2 linked regions of the Nothobranchius furzeri genome follow. The protein of the gene in region 1 binds, or shares a complex with, the protein of each later gene. Links are inferred from orthologs where the notes say so. Each region holds a gene or a part of one and is shown in the gene's direction. Other genes may lie near its edges.

Region 1 (11,692 bases):
CTGAACTTGAGACAGTTCTCCACACCTTCATCTCCTCACGCTTAGACTACTGTAACTCTCTTTTCACGTGTCTGAGCAGAACCTCCCTGAACGTCTACAGGTGGTTCAGAACGCCTGTGCTCGGCTTCTGACCAAGTCCTCCAAACACACCCACATCACCCCGCTTCTCCTCCAGCTTCACTGGCTGCCAGTCAACTTCAGGGTTCATTTCAAGATCCTGGTTCTGGTCTATAGGGCCTTACATGGACAAGCACCATCTTATATTAGTGATCTTCTTAGTCCCTACACCCCCAGCAGGTCCCTGAGGTCCAGTGATCAAAGCCTACTGGTTGTGCAGCACCAGGCTAAAGGTCAAAGGTGACCGATCATTTGCTGCTGTGGCCCCCAGACTCTGGACCTCTCTCCCCCTGAGCCTGAGATCAGTGGACTCAGTGGTCTCCTTTAAACTCACCTGTTCAGGCTTTTGTATGACCTTCTTCACCCCCTCTCTTTATTCTGCTCTCCCCACCTATTCCACTTTCCTCGGGATCCACTGATTTCCCTCTTTCCTTTTCTCTCTTTCTTAACATTTTTTTAAATCATAATTGTCTATTTTTGCTCATTTTAAATATATTTTTAACCATTTTCTAAGTTCTTTTTTATATTTTTACATTTTTGGTTTTTGTGAAGCGCCTCGTGATTTTTATCTTGAGAGGCGCTATAGAAATGATAATTTCTTCTTCTTCTGACTCGCCTTCCCTTTGGTGCAGATCAGCCACTAACCCAAACCAGGTGTGTGGAAGCAGGAAGTGGCCTTTGAGGACCAGGAACGACTAGCAATGCTCCGTAACGATGTCATTTCCTGCGTCTTCTCTTTCAGAACGAGACCAGACATGCCTCACCACCGGGGATGAGAAGGACTCCGAGGCCCCCTACTACGTAGAAACTCCTTACGGATACCAGCTGGACCTGGACTTCCTCAAATATGTCGACGACATCGAGCGGGGCAACACCATCAGGAAGCTGAGCATCCAGAGGAAACCCAAAGTGCCCAAACCTTTGGCGGCACCTCGGAGCAGCAGCACAGGCGCTCGGCCTGAATGGACCTCCACGGACTCCCTGTCCTCCTCCAACAGCGACGGCAAACAGTCCCCGGTGTTTTTTGCACCCAGGCCCCAGGACGCTGCTCCGCTGACCGTCTCCAAGGCGGCCTGTGAAGCGCCGACGCATCAGTCCTACTCCGGCATCTCCGAGCAGAAGCAGCAGCTCCCGCCTCCTTCTCCCAGGTCTGTCCTTCGTCACAACTCCCAGGTGGAAAAGACCCTGATGGAGACCCGCCGTCGCCTGGAGCAGGAGCGTCAGCTCATGCAGCCACACGGCGAGCCTCTGATGCCGCGCCGCCGCCTCGCCAGCTTCAGTGGCATGGGCTCCAGCAGCTCCCTGTCCTCCTACTCCGGTTCTGTTGCCGCGAGCCAGATCTCCCCCAGCACCCACCAGCCTCTGTCCCTCAATGGCCTGTCCAATGGGGACTACAACCATTACTACCCTGCATCCATGGGCAGCTCTATTCGCCACAGCCCCCTGAGCTCCGGCATGGCCACCCCGGTGACCAACGTCAGCCCGATGCACCTGCAGCAGATCAGAGAGCAGATGGTTGTTGCTCTGAGGAGGCTAAAGGAGCTGGAGGAGCAGGTGAAAACCATCCCCATCCTGCAGGTGAAGATTTCTGTTCTGCAGGAGGAGAAACGACAGCTGGCTGCTCAGTCGAAAAGTCAAGGGCTCGGGGGTTTCCGCAAGCGTTCCTACAGCGTGGGCAGCGCCGACCAGATGGAGAACTCCAGCTCCATCCAAAAGGAACCCGAGCTGAAGATCATTGAACCGGAAGTCCAGGAGCAGAGTTCGCAGCGGGTGGAGGAGTTCAGACGTCTGGCTGCAGAGGTTCAAGCTTTGGAGAAGACCACCAAGGAGAACAAGGTCTCTGAAGTTCAGTGTGAAAACGTCCTACTGAACCAGTCCCACCTTAAGTCCGTTGGCGTAGGAACCGATGAGAACATGAACATTTCTGTCGCCCGTCATATAAAGGACATTGGAGTGATGACGGAGGGGCTGGAAACACGGAACGCTGCAGTAGTAGTGACCGAGAACATGCTGGGAGTGACCAGTGAGGCTGAGAAGGAGATCGAGCTCCAGCAGCAGGCCATTGAAGCCCTGAAGGAGAAGATCTACCGCTTGGAGGTCCAGCTTAAAGAAACCACACACCAGATGGAAATGGGAAAGCTGAAGCTGGAGCTCCAAGCAGCCGGTGGGTCCAATAGGAAGAGATCGGACAAAGGTTTGATGGTCCGGCCGGAGATGTACAACGCCTGCGTGGAGGCCAAAGTCCAGACCCGGCACCAGGGAGTGGGGGGCCACCTCAGCACAGATGGAACCCCCCAGACCCACAGCGTCGGAGTCTCCTGTCAGCCCAGCCTGCGGAGCGTCGCCGCAGGACCAGAGCTTCCCATGGACCGCCAGGTGGTTCGGGAGCGTGTGGAGGTGGAGGACCAGTGTGTGGAGGTCCGGGTGGAGACCTGCCACAAGCAGGTTGGAGCGGAGAGGAGTGTGTTCGAGACGGGAGTCGACGCTGAGGAGACTCTGGACCAATCGTTTCTCTGTAGAACCACAGCATGGCCGAACACGGAGTCCCAGTCCGTCGGCTGTGGAGATGGTTCCGTGAATCCGGTCAAGACGTTTAAGTCGCAGGGAACTGACCCGGAGGCTGTCGCTAGGGAGGACTCTGGCATCATGGCTGTTCCAGAATCCGCATCGCAGCAGACCGGTACCGAAGCGGAGTTCACAAACCAGTCCACCAACACCCAGACGGCCGACATGACGGACTCGTTCACCGACACGAACCTGGTGACTTGCGATAAACACACCAACACGGCAGCAACCGAAACCAGAACAGTAGGTGCTGGAGAGGGACTTGTCAAAGACCTTCCCACAGCTGCAAAAACCCGCTCGGTTGCTGTCGGGACCGCCACGGATCTGGAATCTGCTCTGAGCCAGTCAAACTCTGCCAGAACCAGAGAGTGTGGTGTGGGTCCAGTCAGCATCCACGACAACTTCCTGATCGGCTTAAAAACCAGGAACATCGCATGTGGTCCTTCCCAGCCAGCCGGGCCCGTCACTAACGAGACCGACGCCGCTTCGCTGCAGCCACAAGGGGGCGCCGGGCTGGACCACTACATCGAGAGAGTCCAGAAGCTCCTGCAGGAGCAGCAGATGCTGCTGGCGGAGAACTACAGCGAGCTGGCCGAGGCGTTCGGCCAGCCTCAGACCCAGTTCGGGTCCATCAACAGTCAGCTGGTCAGCACGCTGTCCTCCATCAACACGGTGATGAGGTACGGGAGCTCGGAGGACATCCTGAATCTGAACTCAGACTCCAGCAAAGGTGAGCATGCTCCGGGCATTCCGAACACCCGAAACTAGAACAGAGGCGTCTTGTGACATTAGGTCCCTGTGAGGAATGGCTCCGAGTCGGGTTGAGCAATTAGGACACACACTCGCACACACACACACACACGCACACACACACACCCACAGCTTTATGACTATCGTGGGTCTTTCTGGTTTAGTTTTTTACCGTTTTTTAATCAGAATTATTTATTATATATTTATTCAGAACTTTTAAGACTTTTCTCAGCATTTGAATCCCGACAGCCGTCCTTCGTTTGTTCCCGGCGGTCCGGAGTCCGATTCTGGATTCCTGGTTCAGATGTGGTTTAAAGAGAATCCAGATCCGATCGGACAGGCTGGAGTTTTCTCTGACCCTGAAAAAATGTGTGTGTGTGTGTGTGTGTGTGTGTGGGGGGGGGGGGGGGGGGGGGGCTTTGGACAGGAACCAACCATGAGCTCATGTTTGTTGGGAGCCGCCGGCGGCGTCTTGTTGTTTTAGTGGGCTGTCCTGCCTCGGCCAACGCCTCCTGTTGGTGCCGAGTCACGGCTCTGGAGCCGTTACATAACCGGGTTCAGGTCTGCGAGCCAGGCTCGGTTCTGATCACGTTCTGACCTTTAGTGGGCTGTTTTGGGACATTAGTGTCAGGGCTGAAGAGAAATATGAGGTGTTAGTCAAATAATTAATTTAAATGTTGTTTTATGAGGTTTTGAACATTTTCAGCCTTTTTTTTAATTAATTTATTTTTTTAGAGAACGTTCTGCAGCTCCAGGTACCGACTCTGCAGGTGGACCCCTCGCAGCCTGAGCGGACCCCATCGGGTCTGGATCCTACTGACCATCCTGAGCTCCCAGTGCTGCAGCCGCAGATCAGTGCAGCCGAGCAGAAGAGCCGCATGGACCTGCAGATGTCTATGGCGCTGCACGGTAAAAGTCCAGGAACCCGAGTGGTCCTCCAGACAGATTTACTGGACCAGAACAAACCTTCATGAGAAAACCACCGGGAAATGGGTTCAACAGTGGTGGGGCGGGTCTGGCTTAGACAGGTCACTAGACATACAAGTCTCGGTCCTAATCCAAGTCTGATGCTTACAGTTTAAACAAGTCATTTGATCAATTAGAAAAAGTATTTCCAGAAATCTTTTAAAAGTCATTTTTTATCAGACGGATCAGAACAAAAGTGCTGATGTTGCATTTATTAGTGAAAAGCTTTCAGGTTCATCTGGTCTGAGCAAGGTCCGAGTCGCTCGGTGTCCTGTGATGTCAAACAGTCGAGTTTAAAGGGATCAAAAAGGACTCGAGGACACGAATCGGGAGTATTCTTGGTAGAAGTCTCAAACCAACCTGATCATTGGAGTGGAAGGAAACTAAAGCGCCCCTGCTGGCTGGCTGCGGTTTAAATCCTAAGCCCCGCCCCTTCTGACTTGTTCAGTGGTTGCTGGAATATGTTTAGCAGTAACTGGGTATTTGAGACTTTTAAACACCTTGAATGTGTGCAGATATGTGGGCGGAGCCTGTAACCCCTCAGACAGCACGCTGCCTCCCGTACAAATGTTTGGCTTCTGTTGTCAGCAGCAGACGAGGGCAGAGTCGTCGTCTTCCACGGTCTCACCTGCAGATTCTAGACCTGCTGCCAGAACCCGACCAGAACCCGACCAACAGCCTGTTTGTCCTCATTAGCTGCTTTCTTTGCCTCCACTTGTCAAAACATTGGAAACATGTAGAGACTGTTGCTACTAAACGCCACACACACACACACACACACACACACACACGCACACACACACCTCGCTGCACCAGAGAGGCCCCTCCATCAGTACAAGTCCAGGCAGATGTGAGGGTTCTGACCCGCTCTGCTGGCATTTCTGGGTTTTTTTAGACCAGCACTTAAAATGACTGAGATGCTTCTGGCTTTGAGGCGCCTCCAAGAGCCTCTCGCACAGCTCTGTGAAAACATCTGACCTGATCTGCTCTTGTTTACAGGAGCATAAAGAAAACATGTATTTAAATACACAAACATCAGAACAACGTCCCCGATGCAGACTTGACAGAAACTTTATGAATCTGGATCTGTAGATCTTCTTTTAGGACTACATCTGCTGTTTCTGGGTTTAATTTTGATGTTTGTGTTTCCTAAAGGAGAGCCGTGCAGTCAGAACACCCTCAAGTCGATCATGAAGAAGAAAGATGGACGAGGGGACTCCAACGGCACCAAGAAGAACCTTCAGTTTGTCGGCGTAAACGGAGGGTGAGAAAACAATCGAATGTTTGTTTGTTTGTGGGTGAAGTTCTTCCCCAGTACTCCCACACGGTCTTCTGCATGCAAACATGAAATCTGAGCTGCTGCAGCCTGTTGGTGCGGAACACCTGGGTCTGCAGGTTTCTGAGTCTCTACTGCCCCCTTCTGGTGCAGATCCGAAACTACGTCCAGCGACGACTCGAGTTCAGAGGAGAGCAGCTCCTCTGGGTCGGAGGAAGATGAGGAGAAGGAGGAGGAGGAGGACGGGGATGTGGGAGGAAGGAGCATCAGGGACGAGTTCCAAAACGAAGGAGCAGAGGACGTGGACACGAAGGATGAAGAGGAGAGTGTGAGGAAGGAGAAGAGAGAGAGGTGAGTGATCAGATGTCTGCGTTTGTTTATAAAACTGGGTTAACTGACTGTTTGGTTCCAGAACATCAGACTTCTGTAACTGAACAGGCATTACCAATGGAGCCCAGATTTTCCAAGTTCTATCGGCTCCATTTACGACTTCTAATCAGAACACGTGTGTTAAAATAACAGCATCAGCCGTGGCTCCTGGCCGAGCTTTAAACTCGATCCTCTGAAGAAAAACGGGCTCAGATCCAACCTGAAGTCTAAAAACCTGCTCAATAAAGTCGGGCGCAAATCAAACATTCCCGGAACGTAAATACTGACGTCAAACCGAAGTTCAGTAAAGGCAGAGCAGATGCCGGAGCAAGGGGGTGCTGAAACACGCTCAGCACCCCCTACTTCCCACGGCCTTGCCTGTAATTCGAATCCGGCGTATAAGCACAAGTTGGTCGCGTGAGTTGCCGGAACGGTCCTTTCAAAATAAGACGGTTCCCGGATCTTGTTCCGGCAAGATCCGGCTCAAATGAAGCCCTGGTAAGGAGCATCATCGATTCAACTCCAGTGGTTTCAGACTGGATTGGCTGTAATCATGAGGAAAAGAAGGTTAAACAGAAAGATGTGAATCGGCACCGAATCTGAGAGAAAATTGCCTCCCAGCGTAAACAAAGGACTTCTGCTTCCAAATCAGTCAGGCTGTTTAAACATGGAGAGGCAGGATGGACACCTGTTTAACTAAAATCAGGGTTCGTTTAGTCAGAAATCTGCTGTGTGGAGCTGTTTTAATGTGTTTGTGACACTTATTGGTGTTTTATTTACGGGAAGGTTTGAGCTGAGTGAGAAGATGTCGTCTGCCTGCAGCGTTCTCCAAACGTCCCTCAGCGACTCGAAGGGTGTGAGCAGCAAAGACCTGGTGAGTCTGGCTCCTCCCAAGGCCGCTGAGTTATTGTTGTTGTCCTTGGTAATTATAGCTAACTTAAACTACATGTAGTTTAAATGTTAAACATTATAGATCAAAAAATGAATGTAAGGGAGATTCTTGTGTGAATCCTTTTATTTTCCAACTCTTAAGATTCTTGAAAGAGACGAACAACTCACCAGATTTCTTGTATTTTTGCCACCAAGTAAAAGATTTGACTTGTTTTCTGCACCATGTTCGATTATCCTGAAACACTGGAGCTCTAACAGGTGTTTCTAACCCCGCCCCCTCAGAGAGCCGGTCTCAATACGCTGCAGCACGAGTGGTTCCGGGTGTCCAGTCAGAAGGCGGCGATGGCGCCAATGGTGGAAGACTACCTGATGGCGTTTGAGGGAATCTCGCCGGCCGTGCTGCGCCACATTGTCAACATGGCCGATGGGAACGGGAACACAGCGCTGCACTACAGCGTGTCACACTCCAACTTCCAGGTGGTGAAAAAGCTGCTGGATGCAGGTGAGCTGCAGACTCGGGCTTCTGCCTGAAGGAGGAAGGGTGAATAGTAATGTGTGTGTGTGTGTGTGTGTGTGTGTTCCAGACGTTTGTAACGTGAACCAGCAGAACAAAGCCGGCTACACGCCCATCATGCTGGCAGCACTGGCAGCCGTGGAGACACCGAAGGACATGAGCATCGTAGAGGAGCTGTTCAGTAAGGGCGATGTGAATGCTCGAGCCAGTCAGGTGGGTCTCAGAGGTCAGAGGTCAGCTGCGTGTAGCTCAGTTGGAGCTGAGTGTGTCTTACTATCATTTTAGAAATAAAACCATTCATCTGGGTTTTGATTAGGAGAGTTCAATATTATCAGTCTACCATTAATATTATCAGTCTACCATTAATATCAGTCTACCATTAATATCAGTCTACCATTAATATCAGTCTACCATTAATATTATTAGTCCACCATTAATATTATTAGTCTACAATTAATACTATCAGTCTACCATTGATATTATCAGTCTACTATTAATATTATCAGTCTACCATTAATACCTGCTGACATCAGCGATTAAATTTATAATTAGAAAATGTCTGTATTGGTTTTCAGTCTTTTAATGAACCAGCGTTTACCTGCCACACACTTATTATACATAAAACTCTTCGGCTACTTCTCCTCTCTAAAAATATTATAACATAAAAATATAACAGATCTGAGACATTTTACTCAAATTGGCACAACTTGTAAAGTAGAAGTTAGCTCCAAATTTTCCCCGTTGTAGTGAACATAAGCTGTCCCAATGGCACGCAGCTACGTGTAGCTAGCAGCTAACGGAGCGCAGCTACGTGTAGCTAGCAGCTAACGGCACGCAGCAGCTACTTGTAGCTAGCAGCTAACGGCACGCAGCAGCTACGTGTAGCTAGCAGCTAACGGCACGCAGCAGCTATGTGTAGCTAGCAGCCAACGGCACGCAGCAGCTACGTGTAACTAGCAGCTAACGGCAAGCAGCTACGTGTAACTAGCAGCTAACGGCACGCAGCAGCTACGTGTAACTAGCAGCTAACGGCACGCAGCAGCTACGTGTAACTAGCTGCTAATGGCACGCAGCTACGTGTAGCTAGCAGCTAACGGCACGCAGCTACGTGTAGCTGCTAACAAATGACTAAAACAAGAATCCACTCGAGGCTTGTTTTTAAAACTCTTCTGAATGTTAGTTCTGTGTACTGATTCATAATCATCATTTTTCTTATTTACCACAGTGCAGTAATTAAAATTTTTTTTAACTTTTACACGTTTCAGCCGGAACGGCCAGCTGTTTGTGGCGTCACTTCCGTTTATGTGCGGGCAGCAGAGGGCGACATCGTCCTCTGCTGCCCGCACATAAAATTTTCCCGTTACTGACTTTAATTATAGTTATTTTGCACATAAAATACTTAAAATTTAAGCATGACAGGAGATTTGTGGTGTTTGTAAGCTAAATGTGTTAGTTTTTTATGAGCAAATTGGTATTGGTTTATATCAGTATCAGAAATTAAGAGTCAGACGATATCGACATATCGGATATCGGTAAAAAAGCCGATATCGTTCATCCCTCGTTTTAATTGTTCCTGTAAATGTGATCCGTGTGCTCCAGGCCGGTCAGACGGGTCTGATGCTGGCTGTCAGCCACGGCAGGATGGACATGGTTCGAGCCCTGCTGGCTCACGGCGCCAACGTCAATGTCCAGGACGACGAGGGCTCCACGGCGCTGATGTGTGCTAGCGAGCACGGCCACGTGGAGATCGTCAAGCTGCTGCTGGCCCAGCCGGGCTGCGACGCCACGCTCAGTGACAGCGTGAGTCGACTCGGGAAGGGAAACCGTATCAGATTAATGTTTGTTCTGATTCTTTTCATCAGAACTCACCTTTTATTCACAACGAAAGCCTCGTGTTTTCACGTGTTTGGGTGTCTTTACTGAAATAAATGAGCTGTAGTTAGATTTGACATCTTCTCTGCCCCCTTCAGGATGGGAGTAACGCTCTGTCCATCGCTCTGGAGGCTGGACACAAGGACATCGCGGTGCTGCTTTATGCGCACGTTAACTTCTCCAAAGCTCAGGCTTCGGTATGTTTGTCTTCTTCTGTCCTCCGACTCTCGGTTTGGGACCTTGAAGCTCTCCTGTCCTCACGTGTTTGTTTTCCAGGGAACGCCTCGACTCAGCAGGAAGACATCACCAAGTCCCACTCGGAAGGGTGTATTTGACTAGACCCCGCCCCGTCCCTCCTCGGTGGATAAACTCTGTGCTGCTATTGGTTCTCGCTGAACGATGGAAGAGGGACTTGATCCCAACAACCAACCTGTCTGATTTCTGGGATTATTTGTTCCACTTCCCTCTCATTGAGCCCAAAGTGTCCTTTGAACATGAATGTAGCCACGAGGTGCCTGAAACGCTCGCCATCAGCAGCCGACTCCGCTCAGACCAGCAAAACTCTACAGATGTCCTTTCAAAACACACACACACACACACACACACACACACACACACACACACACACACACTAGAGTAACGTCTCCTTGCTGCCTCCTGGTGAATTCGATGTGACCTGATGGACTTTCCTTCTTTGTATTTAAAGACGATTAACAGTATTTTGAATAATTCCTAAATAATCCTCAACAACCCATGAAGTTATGTATTTATCAGAGTATAGTTTTATTGCAGAAGTGTATTTGAGTGTACATACGGCGGAGTTGTTCGGCGTTTTGTGTAAGATAATCCTGTCTTTAGTGTTCGTCCAGGTGCTGACGTCATCCTGACGGGGACTCGAGTGCCTGAAACTTGTAACAAAAACCTTTCAATAAAAGTTTAAACTGCAGCTTTGGTCTGATGTTGAAACCGAAGCAACCTCTGCTGGGTTGGTTTTTATACAGCATGAAATTATTAGATTAATAAATAAGTTTTTGGAAAACACAAATGTATTTTTAGAAATGTTTTACTTTCTGAAACTTTTCCATCTTTCTGTTCTGCTGGAAAGAGTAGGGAAAAAAGATCCCATATGTAGGTTTATAGCTGCCCCAAGTCCAAGTTGGTTTCCTTTTTTTTCCGTGAAAGTTGCATTACAGAAAGCAAATGTTTAAGTCTGACTTGGTGAATAATTCCCATCCTAGATGCTTCCTGAATGGCTTCGATTCAGAGGAGTTTGTTACTGGGAAGCTACCTTCCAGTGTGACAGGACTTGTTCTGCTGAGCTGTGGTGGCCTCATGGAGGGGGCCATCGTCTAGCACACTGCTGCTAACCACTTAAACATTCTCCCTCTCCTGATAACTTTTTGCTTTCCTTGACGTTTAATGTGCTACTACTAGTTTACCCGTTTAATTATAGATCCACTAGGATAAATACAATAAAGTTTATCTCTCGCCAAATAGAATATTTACTAAGAAATCACAATGTAACCTGTGTGTGTGTGTGTGTGTGTGTGTGTGTGTCTGCTCTGTCTTCTCCATCCCCAGTGAGTCTAACCCTAACCCTCCTCTGGAGGTTTCTTCCTGTTAAAAGGGAGTTTTCCTCTCCACTGTCGCTGCATGCTTGCTTAGTATGAGGATTGCTGTTAAGACTCTGACACTAGTCAGTGACTCGATGCAACCTGCCGGGTTCCTTATATAGGAAACTTTTTCTGAGTGACTTAATGACCTGACCTGTGTTGGAATGTTTATTATGTGAAGGTTCATGAGACGACGCTTGTCGTGATTTGGCGCTTTATAAATATATATTAAAAAAAACTTTACAAACACGCTTGAAAAGAAGCTGAACTATGCCGTAAGATTTTAGTTTTAGTGGTTGATAAGCCTCCCACCTCGTCGCTGTCGGGGTTAAAAATTAAATCATGAAAATGATTTACTTTATTCAAACGAGCTTCATTTATGACATTTTAGACATTTAGTTCTAAAATAAAACGAAAACATGTTTTTAATGATGGCTCTTATTTAAAAGGGCCTGATAAAACACCCAAGAACCCATTCAGAGATGAAAACTAAGGTGTGGTGGCTTAAGTGGGCGTTGCCATACTGTATATAGTCAGAACCACTGATGAAAACCATAGTTAAGTACTTTTAAACTAACAGGAAAAACCAAATATAATATATGGTGCTCACTCCACACCCCTGCCACGTGGATCTCAAGGGATAAACCATCAACCCTGCTCAAAGGTCACCTTTCCTGGCGGGGTCACCCATGAAGACAGTGGTAGGGTGACGTTCGTTTTATCCACCAGGAGGCGCTAGAGCCAGATACTTTTACAGTT
Region 2 (12,336 bases), on another chromosome or scaffold:
ATTCTCGCACGAGTGGAAAATCGGCTCAAAAAAGTGAAGAAGTCGCACAGTGTACGCCCGGCTTTAGGCAGGTGTCTGGTCTGAGAGCTGAAAACACACAACAGCTATGCTGCAGAACTTCCACTTCTCTATAGATGTCAGTAATACAGAATCCTAAATGATGTGATGTATGAACTATGGATCTTTTTAATTTGGTGTGGTGGGTTTATGATTAGGTTAGATTAGTCCAAGTCGTGTGCACTAGATATGATCGGATTGTGATTTTCAAAGACTTAATTTATTTTCTTTTTCAGCATATTTTCAAGTACCTTCAAGCTGAAGCCATCAAAAAAGACAAACCTGACTTTTTGATGGGGTGGAAAGGCCTTTTTAAAATGGTAAAGCTGGACTGTTTCCTTCTGTAGCTGCTGAGCGGTGATATTCTGACCTCCTGGATACTGATGTTGTTTTGGTGTTTTACAGAATGTGGGTCGCCAGAACAACGACAGTGACTGTGGTGCTTTTGTACTACAGGTGAGTTTGCAACCAGTCCCAGTAGTTGATCACACATACAGGCTGCACCATTAAACAGACCCTTGTTGCCCAGTACTCCTGGTTTCCCATCAGCTGTGATCACACGCTGATCAGCTGGGACACTTTGTTGGTGGAACCCAAAGTCCTGGAGCCGAGTTGATGTGCACCTATGTTTAAAGGGACTTTACGGACTTTTGAATTTTTATGCTCGCGATTGCCCCCTCAGGCCAAAAGCGTAACGGCAGCTTCAATAGTAGGCTCGTGCACGAGGCGCGCATGCTGTACGTGCACACTCCTTAACGAAAATAACAGCTGAGACAGTCGTGTGTGTGTGTGTGTGTGTGTGTGTGTGTGTGGCCCGGAGGACAGGAGAACGCGCAGCTAATTAATTAAATAATTTGGTTCTGTACCTTTCTCTTCAGCACAGCCGACAAAGGTTTATGATGGGTCAGTCCTCCTGCATGCTCAGATCATTCCCTTCCCTTGCTTGAAAAATTGTTCCAAAATGAAAGTTGAACCCACAACTTTTTATCTGTGAATTCAATGCTGATCGGCAAGTCTCAAATAAAAATTTGTACATCTTACTGTAAAAATATATACCATTAATGTAAAAAATAAACTCTCAAGTAAATATGTTCACATCTGGATTCGAACCCGGGTCTCCCACACAAGAGTCCGACGTCTTACTAGGTGAGCTAAAGCGCCAGTGACACCCTTTGTATCTGTAACGTTTATATCCTTGATTGCAGCTGAAACAACGTTCAAAGAACGGTTCGGAGTGAAAATGGCTATTTTGTTGCTAATTAGCAGGAAATATCTAGAAGAAAGTTCTACAGAAAGTAGCTAAGGGTCCTCAGAAATGTAGCTAGCTTTGTCACTAGGCGTTAGGAACAGCGACAAAGTGGCACTGCCTCTCTCTCTGCTGCTAAAGCTACGGATAGCAAATGCTACGGGCGATGCCTGAGCGTGAACGCGCATGAAGCAGCCTGCTCGACCCGAGCATCTCTCTTTTTCTGTGATTTTACAGAAAAACAGGCAATCACAGTAAAAATGCCAGGGCTCATTCTACAGGACCAGGGCATTGCAGGAGAACGTATGAAAAAGACATTTATTATTTCTATACATGTTTTGGCTGTCACACTTCCATAATGTCCCTTTAAACAGCCGCACCAACACGTTAACCACAACAACGCTTGGCTGCGATTGGCTAAGAAAGGATTGTTTGTTTTTACACTCAAATGCATTTCAGAATGAGTGAAATGTGTCTGAGTTCCTTGTGTAACGGGAGCTTTCCACTACGGCTGCAGTGGGTGGGCGTGGGCGACCCAGCACATCAGTACCGCGAGGTGATTTGTACACAAAACACAACAGAGAAGAACACGGTAGTGATGCCGAACATTCTGCTCAGTCAGTTGCTTTTTGTCAGACCCTGAAAAGGTTGCAGGCAGCGAGGCGGACTCCACCCCCTAGCCAAACACTGACCGACATTCACCGTTATCGGCCCGGGTCGTTAGGCCTGGAACCACATCGATTCAAGTGTGAAAAAAGAGCGGTGACTACAGACGTGTTACTAACGGAGATGGCCTAACCGCGCTGCTCTGAGTGGGACACAACTGTCCAGTAAAACCTAGAACCTGCAGCCGTCTGCAGCACAGACATGAAGCGTTGGGTTAGCGTTTCCTGGTGAGCGTGCCTTGGTGCTGTTAGGAGGTGAATGCATAAAAGTAACTTGTGTCTGTTCTTTTTCCTCCCTGTCGCAGTACTGTAAGTGTCTGGCTCTAGGACAGCCGTTCGGCTTCGGGCAGCAGAACATGCCCCAGCTCAGGAGGCAAATGTACAAAGAACTGTGCCACTGCAAGCTCACCCTGTGACCTTTCACCTCTAGCCCCCTCATCCCAACCACACAGAGGTGATGAAACAACTGAAGGACAAGGGTAGGAACTGATGGGCTGGAGAAAGGACTAAACAAAGCCTTTGTTGACTCCTCCTGAGAAAAGACACTTTGCATATCCACTGTCACCGTTTTCCTTTAGTCTGCTTCCCTCAGTTCACCCTTCTGAAAAGTTGGTTTGAATTTAACGCCGTAGTTCCTGTATAGTAGCTGCCAGAGATGAAGACCAGCATCCATGTTGGGAATGAGCTTATTGTTCATCCTACTGTTGACTCTGAAGCACGAATAAGGGTTTAGAGGAGGCGGTTCTAGTTTGTCATCATTTCATGCTCCTCACGGTTTTTGTTTTTGTAAAACCAACAATATTGCCACCCATAATAAAATGCTAGAGTGAGTTTTTGGACAATGTCAGTTTGTGTTGGTACCATTTCTCTGTGTAGTTTGATCCGAACCCCTCATCGATGTCTTCAGCTGGGTCAGCGCTGGGCCTGGATCTTGGAGTAAATGCTGCCAGGAGAGGGTTTTCATAAGAAGTTTGTTTGAGCTTCACCGTCAGCGGACAAGCCAGACCCCCCCCCCCGGCTCCAGCACCGTAACCTTTTTGCCTTCTCCAGTAACAAATGTAACTGAGTAATGTGAGTTTTTGTTTCTGCGTCTCAGGGCAGCCAAACAAAGACCCAGAGTGAGGGGAGCCTCTACTTTGTCTTTTTACTGTGTTTTTATTCCTGTCAGTAAATGTGGTGAAATGCGTATTGCTTTGAACTAATGGTGTTGAAACGGACTACGTTTTCTGTTCTTTTGCAGTAAGTCTAAAAAATGTTTTAGGTTTTTTTAAGCCATTTTGGTGGGGACCACAGCAGCTACACAACAGGCACCATATGTCCACAACTGAGTTACGTGCTTTCTCTCTTTTTTTTTGTTCCAGTGTATATATATATAAAAATATATACACAAAATAAACATCATACTTGTGGATAGTTGTGTTTTTAGATTTGCATCCTGTTTTCCTCAGTTGATGCAACAGAGTTGTTTTCTATATCTTCTATGATGCATTATGGTTGCTAAAATAAAAAAAACATGTGGCAAACAAACTGTGTATTTAAAGCTTGAGTAGCTAGTCATCCATAAAGTCAGTGTGATGATAATAGGGATGCAACGATACCACTTTTTTCCAAACCGATACCAATACTTGGATCTGAGTACTCACAATACCGATTACCACTACCGATACTTCTACCACACAAAAAAATGCAATGATTTGGAATTCAGATTTTATTTTCTTCTCTGCTTTCAACAGGAGGACTGTGAGGTAGATAAAAAGTAAAATATATGAAAAGAAATCATCACAAAACCAAAATATTAGGTGAACAGAAATGACAAGTTACAGTGAAGCCATTTTCAAGCAACTGCATTGGTATCGGTTAACTTTTACCGATACTGGTATTGGTATCGTATCGGTGCATCCCTAGATGATCATTCATAATTTACATAAAAAAACATTTCATGACCCGAACAAGTGGAGTATATTCTTACAGAACCTTCCAGCAGGTCCGGCCATTCTGAGCCACTCTTGCTTTAGTGAACTAAAAATGATTCATCCTAAATGTGTTGATTTTGGACTCGACCGCAGCATTTACACTTGTGGTGAAACGTGATTTTAAACATCTATGGATTAACATATCTGAAGATTCAAGTGGCCTTTACTCTTTGACCAAAACAGACAGAATGAGAAAGTTTACAGATAACAGATGTAGGGAGCACGGACTATCGCCACTGAGGTCAGAGCTCAGCTGACCTGCACAGGTAGGACAAAACAACACATTACTGCTGTCAAAAAGAATTACTGTGACAATTTATTAGAACTGCAGAAATGTTTATAAGAAAATACATTTTTGTAATTGTTTTACAACATTTTGGGAGGGATAAAACACTTTGGTACAATACATTTGATGTACTAATTATGCACTGTAAAAAGAGTCCAACCTCACAATAACTTAGAAAATGAATAAACTCTGAATGTGCGGTGTAAGTTAATGTTCAACTGAAAATGATTCTCATTATTGACCCATTTTATCAGCCATTAAAGGTCAACATTTCGCATTTATTTTACTATTGCGGTTAACGTTTTGCCCTTTTTGGGCATTATTGTTCTTACAGTAAAGGTTTGAAGTCAGCTCTGAATCAAGTCCCCGCGTCCCGCTTCGCTCTCAGTAACAAACCATGATTTTTTATCTCTAATAGACTTTCGTTCTTGTCAATGTTTGTTTTTGATCGTTTAAACGAAAAAGATCCCTACCTCTTTCTGGTGGAAAGCAAAGTTCCGCCTAGTCCCGCCTTTTAAAAATACATGTAGGAGTGGACCAATCACGAACCTCGACAGGCGGGTCTACAGAAAAGTGACGGTGATGTTGTCCAATGAAAATGCGACGTTGTGAGTTCTTCATATATAAGAATTTTCTGCCCCGGATTCTTTCTTTGGAATAATGTCGGCTGAATATGATAACAGGTCAGTGAAATAACGAATTGTTCAAACAATATTATACTGTTTTATTTACGATATTTATTGCCGTTTGTGTTTTTTGTGTCGAATTGTGAGAATTGGTGACTAGGAACTCGCCCGTAATATAGACTTTGAGGCACCGCGAGTGGCTTATTAAAAGGACTAGCCTTGTTAGAGGCCTGTTCTCAGTGGTGATGCTAGAATCTCAGTCTTATTGATCGATACTGATATCACTTAGGTAAACCAGTTCAAAAGTTGATTTTGTAGGTTTAATCGCGTATTTGTATTCGCCAGAAGAGTGAACGTGTATTAAAGATGTCGGCCCTGAGAAAAAAGAAAAGGCTGCCGGTTCCGTGTAGCACGTGAGGGCTCCAGGCCTTCGCCGACTTGGTAGTTTAGGGTGTCTGCCGTCACTCCGTTACCAAAACCAGCGAAATGATGTTCCGTCTGTGATTTCTCGCGTACAACCGACCATTTGCAGCCTTCCCGTTAGCGTAGGCGTTAGATGTTCTGGCCTCGGTGATCGGTGCACATGGCGGCGCTAACTGGGAGGGTGGACATGCTAACGCGACTTTTCATTTTTCTGTCATTGCCGCCGCTGGAGCAACCCTAATCCGTTCCTCACGGTTTCCCTCGGCAAGGAAATTGTTGGTGATGGATTCTACTAGCTGTATCCTTGGGTAGAGACCCAGAGGCCCGCTTAGGACCAGCTAAGTTAGCAGGCCGTGGCTACAAGCTAACTCTGTCTCGCTGGACCGTTGCCATCCGGAACGTCATGTTCCGTTTTTGCTCGTTAAATACTTCATCTGACCGTAAACTCGAATGTTTTCCGGGCCACGGCCTGTTTCAGTGCCTTTGCTAGCTGGTCGGATCGACCATCTTGAATGCGGCCTACGATAAAAATGGCGGACTCCGTTGAAGGATCCAGTCTGGTCGCTTTACCGTTTAACGACTTCGGTCGGTTCTACAGACTACCGGGCTGGTTCCGATCGTTCTGGACCCGTTACCGGACCCGTCTGCTGACGGAACCCAGAGAAATGATGGATCCGTGATTTTAATGAATATTCATTGTTTGGTTTCAGAGACAATGGCCCCGAGGGCATGGAGCCCGATGGCATCATCGAGGTAAAAATTTCTACTAATTAAAGGTTTCTGACGTAGATGTGTTCCTGCTTTTTACATATTTGATGTTTCACATGTGCAGTAACTGCCTTGTATGATTAGGAGAGATTAAGCTTTTCCATCTGGACTGAGTTTAAAATGAACAGGATCCTTTTGATTCTAAGGCCTTGTTGCTGATTCTGTCTTGGTCTCATCCGATCAGCATTTGTAGGAAATATTGACGTCACTCTGCCTTGTTTCTGTCTCCCAGAGCAACTGGAACCAGATCGTGGACAGTTTTGATGAGATGAACTTGCGTGAAACTCTGCTCAGGGGAATCTATGCTTATGGTTTTGAGAAGCCATCTGCTATCCAGCAAAGAGCTATTCTCCCTTGTATCAAGGGTAGGTAAGAGGACTGGCCTCAGGGTGCACTTTAGTGTTTTCCTTAGATTAACTAAAATCTCAGCAGCTTTGTTTTGTCTTGTGTGGTTGACTGGTTACACAACATCATCGTACCGATGACTCATCAGCCCTGATGTGGCTAATGTTGCACCTTTAGGACAAGCCCGTATCAGCCAGCTGGAGTGGAGTTGGTGATGATGATCTGGATTAGTTTAGTTGAAAACCCTTTCCGTCTCTCTGGTCTCCAGGTTACGATGTGATTGCTCAGGCCCAGTCTGGCACTGGGAAGACTGCCACATTTGCCATTTCCATCCTCCAGCAGATCGACATAGAGCTGAAAGGCACCCAGGCTCTGGTTCTGGCTCCCACCAGGGAGTTGGCTCAGCAGGTAAGGACCCAGTCACACCAGTTAGGGTGTTGGCTATTGATTTCTCAACAGGCCTGTGACTGAACTGACCCAAGGGACTTAAAACTGGCTCGCCCAGCATGAGCAAGAGCTCCTCATCGCTCTTCCCTCCGCCCACCCACTAGACCTACTTGGGTTGAAATTGAGTTAAATGCCAAAATACAAAATTGTGATTTTAAAAATGTAAAAAAGGGGAGGGGGGGGGTGGAAAACGATCAGTGGCTCCTGGGAAAGGCGGGATAGGTTGAGCAAAATAAGGACAGTGTTGACGAAGGTCGCGTGAAAGCCAGCTTAAATGAGTGGATGACCATGTTGTGAAGCACCTTGGGGGGGGGGTTGTAGGCCCTTTACTACTAGGTGGGGACAGACTGGGTGACTAGTGAGTTTAGTGCATTGCTGCCACATCTTCCTCACCTTAAGTCTGACGTTGGTTTAGGGTTGTGGTTCCTCACAAACCACCTGGCTTGTGTTTGCAGATCCAGAAGGTGGTTCTGGCTCTTGGCGACTACATGGGGGCCAGTTGCTACGCCTGCATTGGGGGCACCAGCATCCGCAGTGAAGTCCAGAAGTTGCAGGCGGAAGCTCCTCACATCGTGGTGGGAACCCCGGGCCGTGTCTTTGACATGATAACACGTAAAAACATCTGTGAGTACTTTATCCGTCTCTGGGAATGACACACTTCTGGTAGATGGACTTGTATTGGACCAGGCCTAGAAGGTACCAAATGGTCGGGTTCTTTGGGTTAGTGGGTTGTTTCTTTTAACAGATCACTTCCTGAACCCAGGAAGTGCAGTATGATGATGAAATCCATGCGTGTCAACTGACTCTTGAGTCGTCCTGGTGTGGTGATGTTCAGGCTAGCGTTCTGCTGACCTGGGTTTTCACAACATCAGGGACTTGGAGACATGATCACACCCTCATGGTTCTGAGTACTTGTGTCAGGAGGTACCTTTAGCTCTCTGGACTTAGTGTGAATGAAAACAAGAAGTCCTGTCTGAAGTGACTTCCCAGAAGGAGGACTTAAAATAGGAAGGCGTTTCAACATCAGGTTCTAGCATTTGTACAGGAACTTAAAAAGCGGCGTTTTGTTTTTCAGCCTCTAAATACATCAAGATGTTCGTGCTTGATGAGGCTGATGAGATGCTGAGTCGAGGATTCAAGGATCAGATTTACGAGATCTTTCAGAAACTGTCCAGCAACATCCAGGTAAGACTCCAGGAGGGCTGGGACCTTCAGACCACAGTCTAGGTGTAGAAAAGGGTTGGTGTTCATGCTGTTCTCGTGGTTTGGTGCTGATAGGTTGTCCTTCTGTCGGCCACAATGCCTGCTGATGTTTTGGAGGTCACAAAGAAATTCATGCGAGACCCGATCCGGATCCTTGTGAAGAAGGAGGAGCTGACCCTTGAGGGTATTCGTCAGTTCTACATCAATGTGGAGAAGGAGGTGAACCAGCTTGGGCAGCATGGTCTGTTATGGGTGTGTAGAACCTGGGCTGACCATCTGACTTGGTTGTGTGTACAGGAGTGGAAGCTGGACACGCTGTGTGATCTGTATGAAACCCTGACCATCACACAGGCCGTCATCTTCATCAACACCAGGAGGAAAGTGGACTGGCTCACTGAGAAGATGCATGCCCGAGACTTCACCGTTTCTGCTCTGGTAACGGCCTCTCAGAGCCTGGTGGAACCAGGACCCGCTGCATATCCTCCGTAGAAATTCAGACTGAAGCTCGGCTGGTTTCAGGTTTATTTTGTCTCTCTCAGCACGGTGACATGGACCAGAAGGAACGAGACCTGATCATGAGGGAGTTCCGCTCTGGTTCCAGTCGAGTCCTCATCACCACTGACCTGCTGGTGCGTCCTCTCTCTCACACACACACACACACCCCAGAGTTCCCTCTCCTCCCATCTGTGGTGGTGGTGCAGGACTGATTGTTCTTTGGGAAAGTAACTCACCCGTCCTCCACTGTGACTCGGTTCAAGTCTGAAGCTCTCAACTGAATGGCGGGTTACACGTCCAGCAGCTGGCGTGTGTGTGTGTATGGAGATGGTTAACATATGTGTTCTCCTTCAGGCCAGAGGGATTGATGTCCAGCAGGTGTCTCTCGTTATCAACTACGACCTTCCAACCAACAGAGAGAACTACATTCACAGGTACTCGCAGAAATACTGCGGTTTCCTCACTATGACCCCACCAGCACCACCTCTTCCTGGTTCTGGTGAAGCTCTTCATCCTGCTTTTGGTTCTCCCTTCAGGATTGGTCGAGGTGGTCGTTTTGGAAGGAAGGGCGTAGCCATCAACATGGTGACCGAAGATGACAAGCGAACCCTGAGAGACATTGAGACGTTCTACAACACCACCGTCGAGGAGATGCCCATGAACGTGGCTGATTTGATCTAGAAAGATACCACAGGCTCTTCTTGCCCCAGTCTGCTTATTTTAGAAGTAAAATCTCGTTTTTAACTTTATGATCTGATTATTTTTCTTTGAATTCCATCATGAGTTTTTACATCCAGACACTTGACGTTGTTGTTGGCCTTTCATGAACTGCTTCATCTTTCTGCTGTAGTTTGATCAGACCAGCACCTGAGCGTTAGCGGCTCGGTGCTGATGCACGTGGTTCTTGTTCTGTAGCCGGCGCTCCTGTCTGGTTGATCACAAGTGTGAACATGAGCAGTGTCTTGAAGTGTTTAGTGCAGCACCGCTCGGGTGTCTCCTGGTTGCAACTACAGTTTACACTCCACAACTCGATGCTTTAACCCCACAGGGGCGCTGGGTTTGACCAGACCAGTATTTCCTGACTCCAGTGGGACTCTGCAGCGTTCACCCGTTCATGTAGAAGAGATCCGGTTCAGGAGCATGTGAGGCTGATTTAATAAAGAGCTGTTAATCCAAACGTGGTGTGAAACTTTGCCTCCAGCACCAGATTTCCTGAGCTTCAGCCTTGTGCTTTTAGACTTGTTTGTTTTAAACCCTAATGGGGTGGGAGGGGGGGTGAGAAGTGACATTAAAGGACCAAACCAGAAAACGGAGGTGAAATCCTCTCCTAAACCGGTCGATACCCCTCTTCATACCTCCTCTAGCCTCTTTAACATGACTTAACCTTTTTTTTGAGATCGTGTATCAAGTTTTCTACATTGCTTTCTGTAAAGTATTTATTTTAATGGCCTTTTAAAAATAAAGATTTCTCCTTTTTAACAGTGTAAACTTGGCTCTGCATTCAAAACCAGAAAAACAGTGGATCCTTGCACTCCAGCTGTTCTGAAGGGGTTGGTCACATGACCGTGGGGGTTAGAAATGTGGTCTGTCCATCCTGCTTTACTGGTCTGAGCAGGCCTACCAGTTCCTTTTGAAGTCAGGTGCTGGTTCTGATTGGCTGAAGGCTGGAGGTGAAGCTAGAGGCAGCAGCTCGGCTCCTGTGTAGTTCTGGTTCTGACGTAAACCGGAAAAACATTTATTAAACCATTTCTGACACGGAGAACAATCACGACCCTCCTGGCTGCACATTTAGAACGTGGATCTATAGGAAAAGCTGCCCTGAACATTATCACGCAACACAAGGTACCAGACCTGTTTCCTGAGCCATCAGAGATCAGTAACAGGTGACCCGGCCTTACCTGCATGAAGCGAAAACAACTTTTTGCATCGCAGGAGCCGTTTTATCGCAACCAGCTTGTTTCTAGGAACCAAAGCGCTGATGGGTGCTCTGGTTTGGTGTGGACCACATTGATCCTGGACTGGAGCTCAGATTATAGATGTTACAGGTGATGTTCCCATGACTTCAACTAAAGTCCACTGGACTGAAGACGACTTCCTAAGATGTGGACTCATGAGCAGGTTGGTCCAACTTGTGGTGCTGAGGGTGGAGAAAAGAACCAGAACTATTCGAGAAGTCCACGGTCAAAGTTCTGTCTCAATGAGCATCATGGAAGAAGATAATAGTAATAATGAAGGTCTGGAGTGCTTGACAGGACAATCATTCAAGGACACCATGACTAGCAGAAGACAGCCTGGATTCAAACCAGCGACCCACCAATTACAAACATCACGTGTCCTATGAAATTTATAAAAAGTCACTTTTTGATTACCAGCAAGTGGTACGACAGGCTAGGATCAGATATTATGCCAACATTGTGGAATCAAATTCTCATGACCCACGCACTCTTTAAGGTGACTCAGTACTGGAAACTGCATCTTCTGCCTCCAGGTCCACGGCTGCGAAGGCCGGGACGTGAGGATTTTCTTCACTACTTTTGTGGACAACATACCGATGATTCGGACTGCTATCGTAGGCCACACTCCTGTTTTTGTGGAGCCTATGCCACTTAGGGCAAACCTGCCAGCCTTTCAGACTATATATCCATGACAGAGCTAGAGGAACTCATTTCCAAGCAAAAACCTTCTGGTTCCCCTTATGATGCTCATCCCCAAGGATGCTTAAGGAGGCTTTTTCTGTTCTGGCCCCTTATATATACATACCAGTCTGGCCTCTTGTGTGGTCCCCCTTACTTTTAAGAGGGCTGTTGTACGACCACTGCTGAAAAAGAAGGGGATGGAGGAGGCTGTGTTGGCCAATTACAGACCTATCTCACACCTACAGTACCTTACTTATCTAAGCTGCTTGAGAGGGTTGTATATTTACAGCTGGTTGCATTTTTAGACACTCACGATTTCTGGGAGATCTTTCAGTCAGGGTTCAGAGCAGGTCACAGTACCGAGACTGCAATTTTAATGGTTCTTAATGATGTTTTTTAGCTTGTGACGGGGGGGGGGGGGGGGGGGGGGGGAATGCTGTCACTCTTTGGATGTTAGATTTGTCTGCGGCCTTTGACACGGTCGATCATGACATACTTTTGGATCGGCTACAACATTGGCTCCCTTCAGTTTCCTAAGGAAGAAAAGTCTTTGTTGGGCCTTCTTTACCAGAAAGGAAGTGTTCAGTGACCAGGTTAGATCTGAGGTGATGTGGATGCCCAGGAATCTGATGTTGTCTACGCATTCTACTAGCTCCCCCCAAATGAGTAGAGGTGGGTGCTCTGTCCTGTTGGACCTCCTGAAGTCCACCATGACCTCCTTGGTCTTACTGGTGTTGAGCACCAGGTTGTTCAAAGAACACCACTGAGTGAGGTGCTGCATCTCCTCTTTTTAGAGGGTCTCATCGTTGTTTGTTATGAGACCCACTATGGTGTCATCTGCAAACTTCAAAACCACCTAAGATAGATCGTTTGACCTGCTATGGGACCAGGGAGTCCTAAATCTGTTCAGGGTCCAATCAAATCTCAAGACCTTCTGGATCCAGATGTGCTCAGGGTCAGAAAGCTTCAGGATGTCCTCCAGCTGGATGATGAACATCAACACACAGCTAGAAACACCACGAATGGATCAGAACCAAACATTGGACACATCTAAACTTGTCTTCAGTGAGCCCTGATCCGGTAGAACGTCTGTGGAAGGAGCTCTGTTCCATCTGTTTTGTCCAGACCAATTTCATCACACTTTTTAGCTGAATCACAACTATTTC

Evidence for each region.
Region 2: the proteins of kank1a (region 1) and eif4a1b are in contact, whole or in part, in a crystal structure (PDB 7DDX), measured with the Mus musculus proteins. The link is inferred for Nothobranchius furzeri from reciprocal best matches to the Homo sapiens genes KANK1 and EIF4A1. Residues at the interface, in NP_852069.4 of Mus musculus: Gly1168, Asn1169, Asn1171, His1175, Tyr1176, Val1178, Asn1201, Lys1202, Ala1203, Tyr1205, Met1209, Leu1210, Leu1213, Ala1214, Ala1215, Gln1240, Ala1241, Leu1248, Ser1251, His1252, Arg1254, Asp1273, Glu1274, His1285; in NP_659207.1 of Mus musculus: Lys99, Val140, Arg141, Val144, Gln145, Lys146, Leu147, Gln148, Met149, Glu150, Ala151, Arg168, Arg169, Tyr170, Ser172.

What each region holds. Positions count from the first base shown.
Region 1 is NC_091750.1:37,654,316-37,666,007, forward strand, and holds the end of kank1a (KN motif and ankyrin repeat domain-containing protein 1a), read left to right. Parts: intron 1-859; coding exon 860-3,412; intron 3,413-4,167; coding exon 4,168-4,341; intron 4,342-5,553; coding exon 5,554-5,662; intron 5,663-5,827; coding exon 5,828-6,025; intron 6,026-6,829; coding exon 6,830-6,917; intron 6,918-7,216; coding exon 7,217-7,436; intron 7,437-7,518; coding exon 7,519-7,661; intron 7,662-9,047; coding exon 9,048-9,248; intron 9,249-9,418; coding exon 9,419-9,517; intron 9,518-9,596; coding exon 9,597-9,659; 3' UTR 9,660-9,889; downstream 9,890-11,692.
Region 2 is NC_091743.1:86,635,173-86,647,508, forward strand, and holds eif4a1b (eukaryotic translation initiation factor 4A1B), read left to right. Parts: upstream 1-4,802; 5' UTR 4,803-4,887; coding exon 4,888-4,910; intron 4,911-5,986; coding exon 5,987-6,029; intron 6,030-6,276; coding exon 6,277-6,409; intron 6,410-6,657; coding exon 6,658-6,797; intron 6,798-7,291; coding exon 7,292-7,460; intron 7,461-7,607; exon of another isoform or gene 7,608-7,748; intron 7,749-7,911; coding exon 7,912-8,021; intron 8,022-8,114; coding exon 8,115-8,258; intron 8,259-8,336; coding exon 8,337-8,474; intron 8,475-8,578; coding exon 8,579-8,668; intron 8,669-8,888; coding exon 8,889-8,968; intron 8,969-9,070; coding exon 9,071-9,215; 3' UTR 9,216-9,260; exon of another isoform or gene 9,261-9,582; 3' UTR 9,583-10,013; downstream 10,014-12,336. UniProt on the Homo sapiens protein: ATP-dependent RNA helicase which is a subunit of the eIF4F complex involved in cap recognition and is required for mRNA binding to ribosome.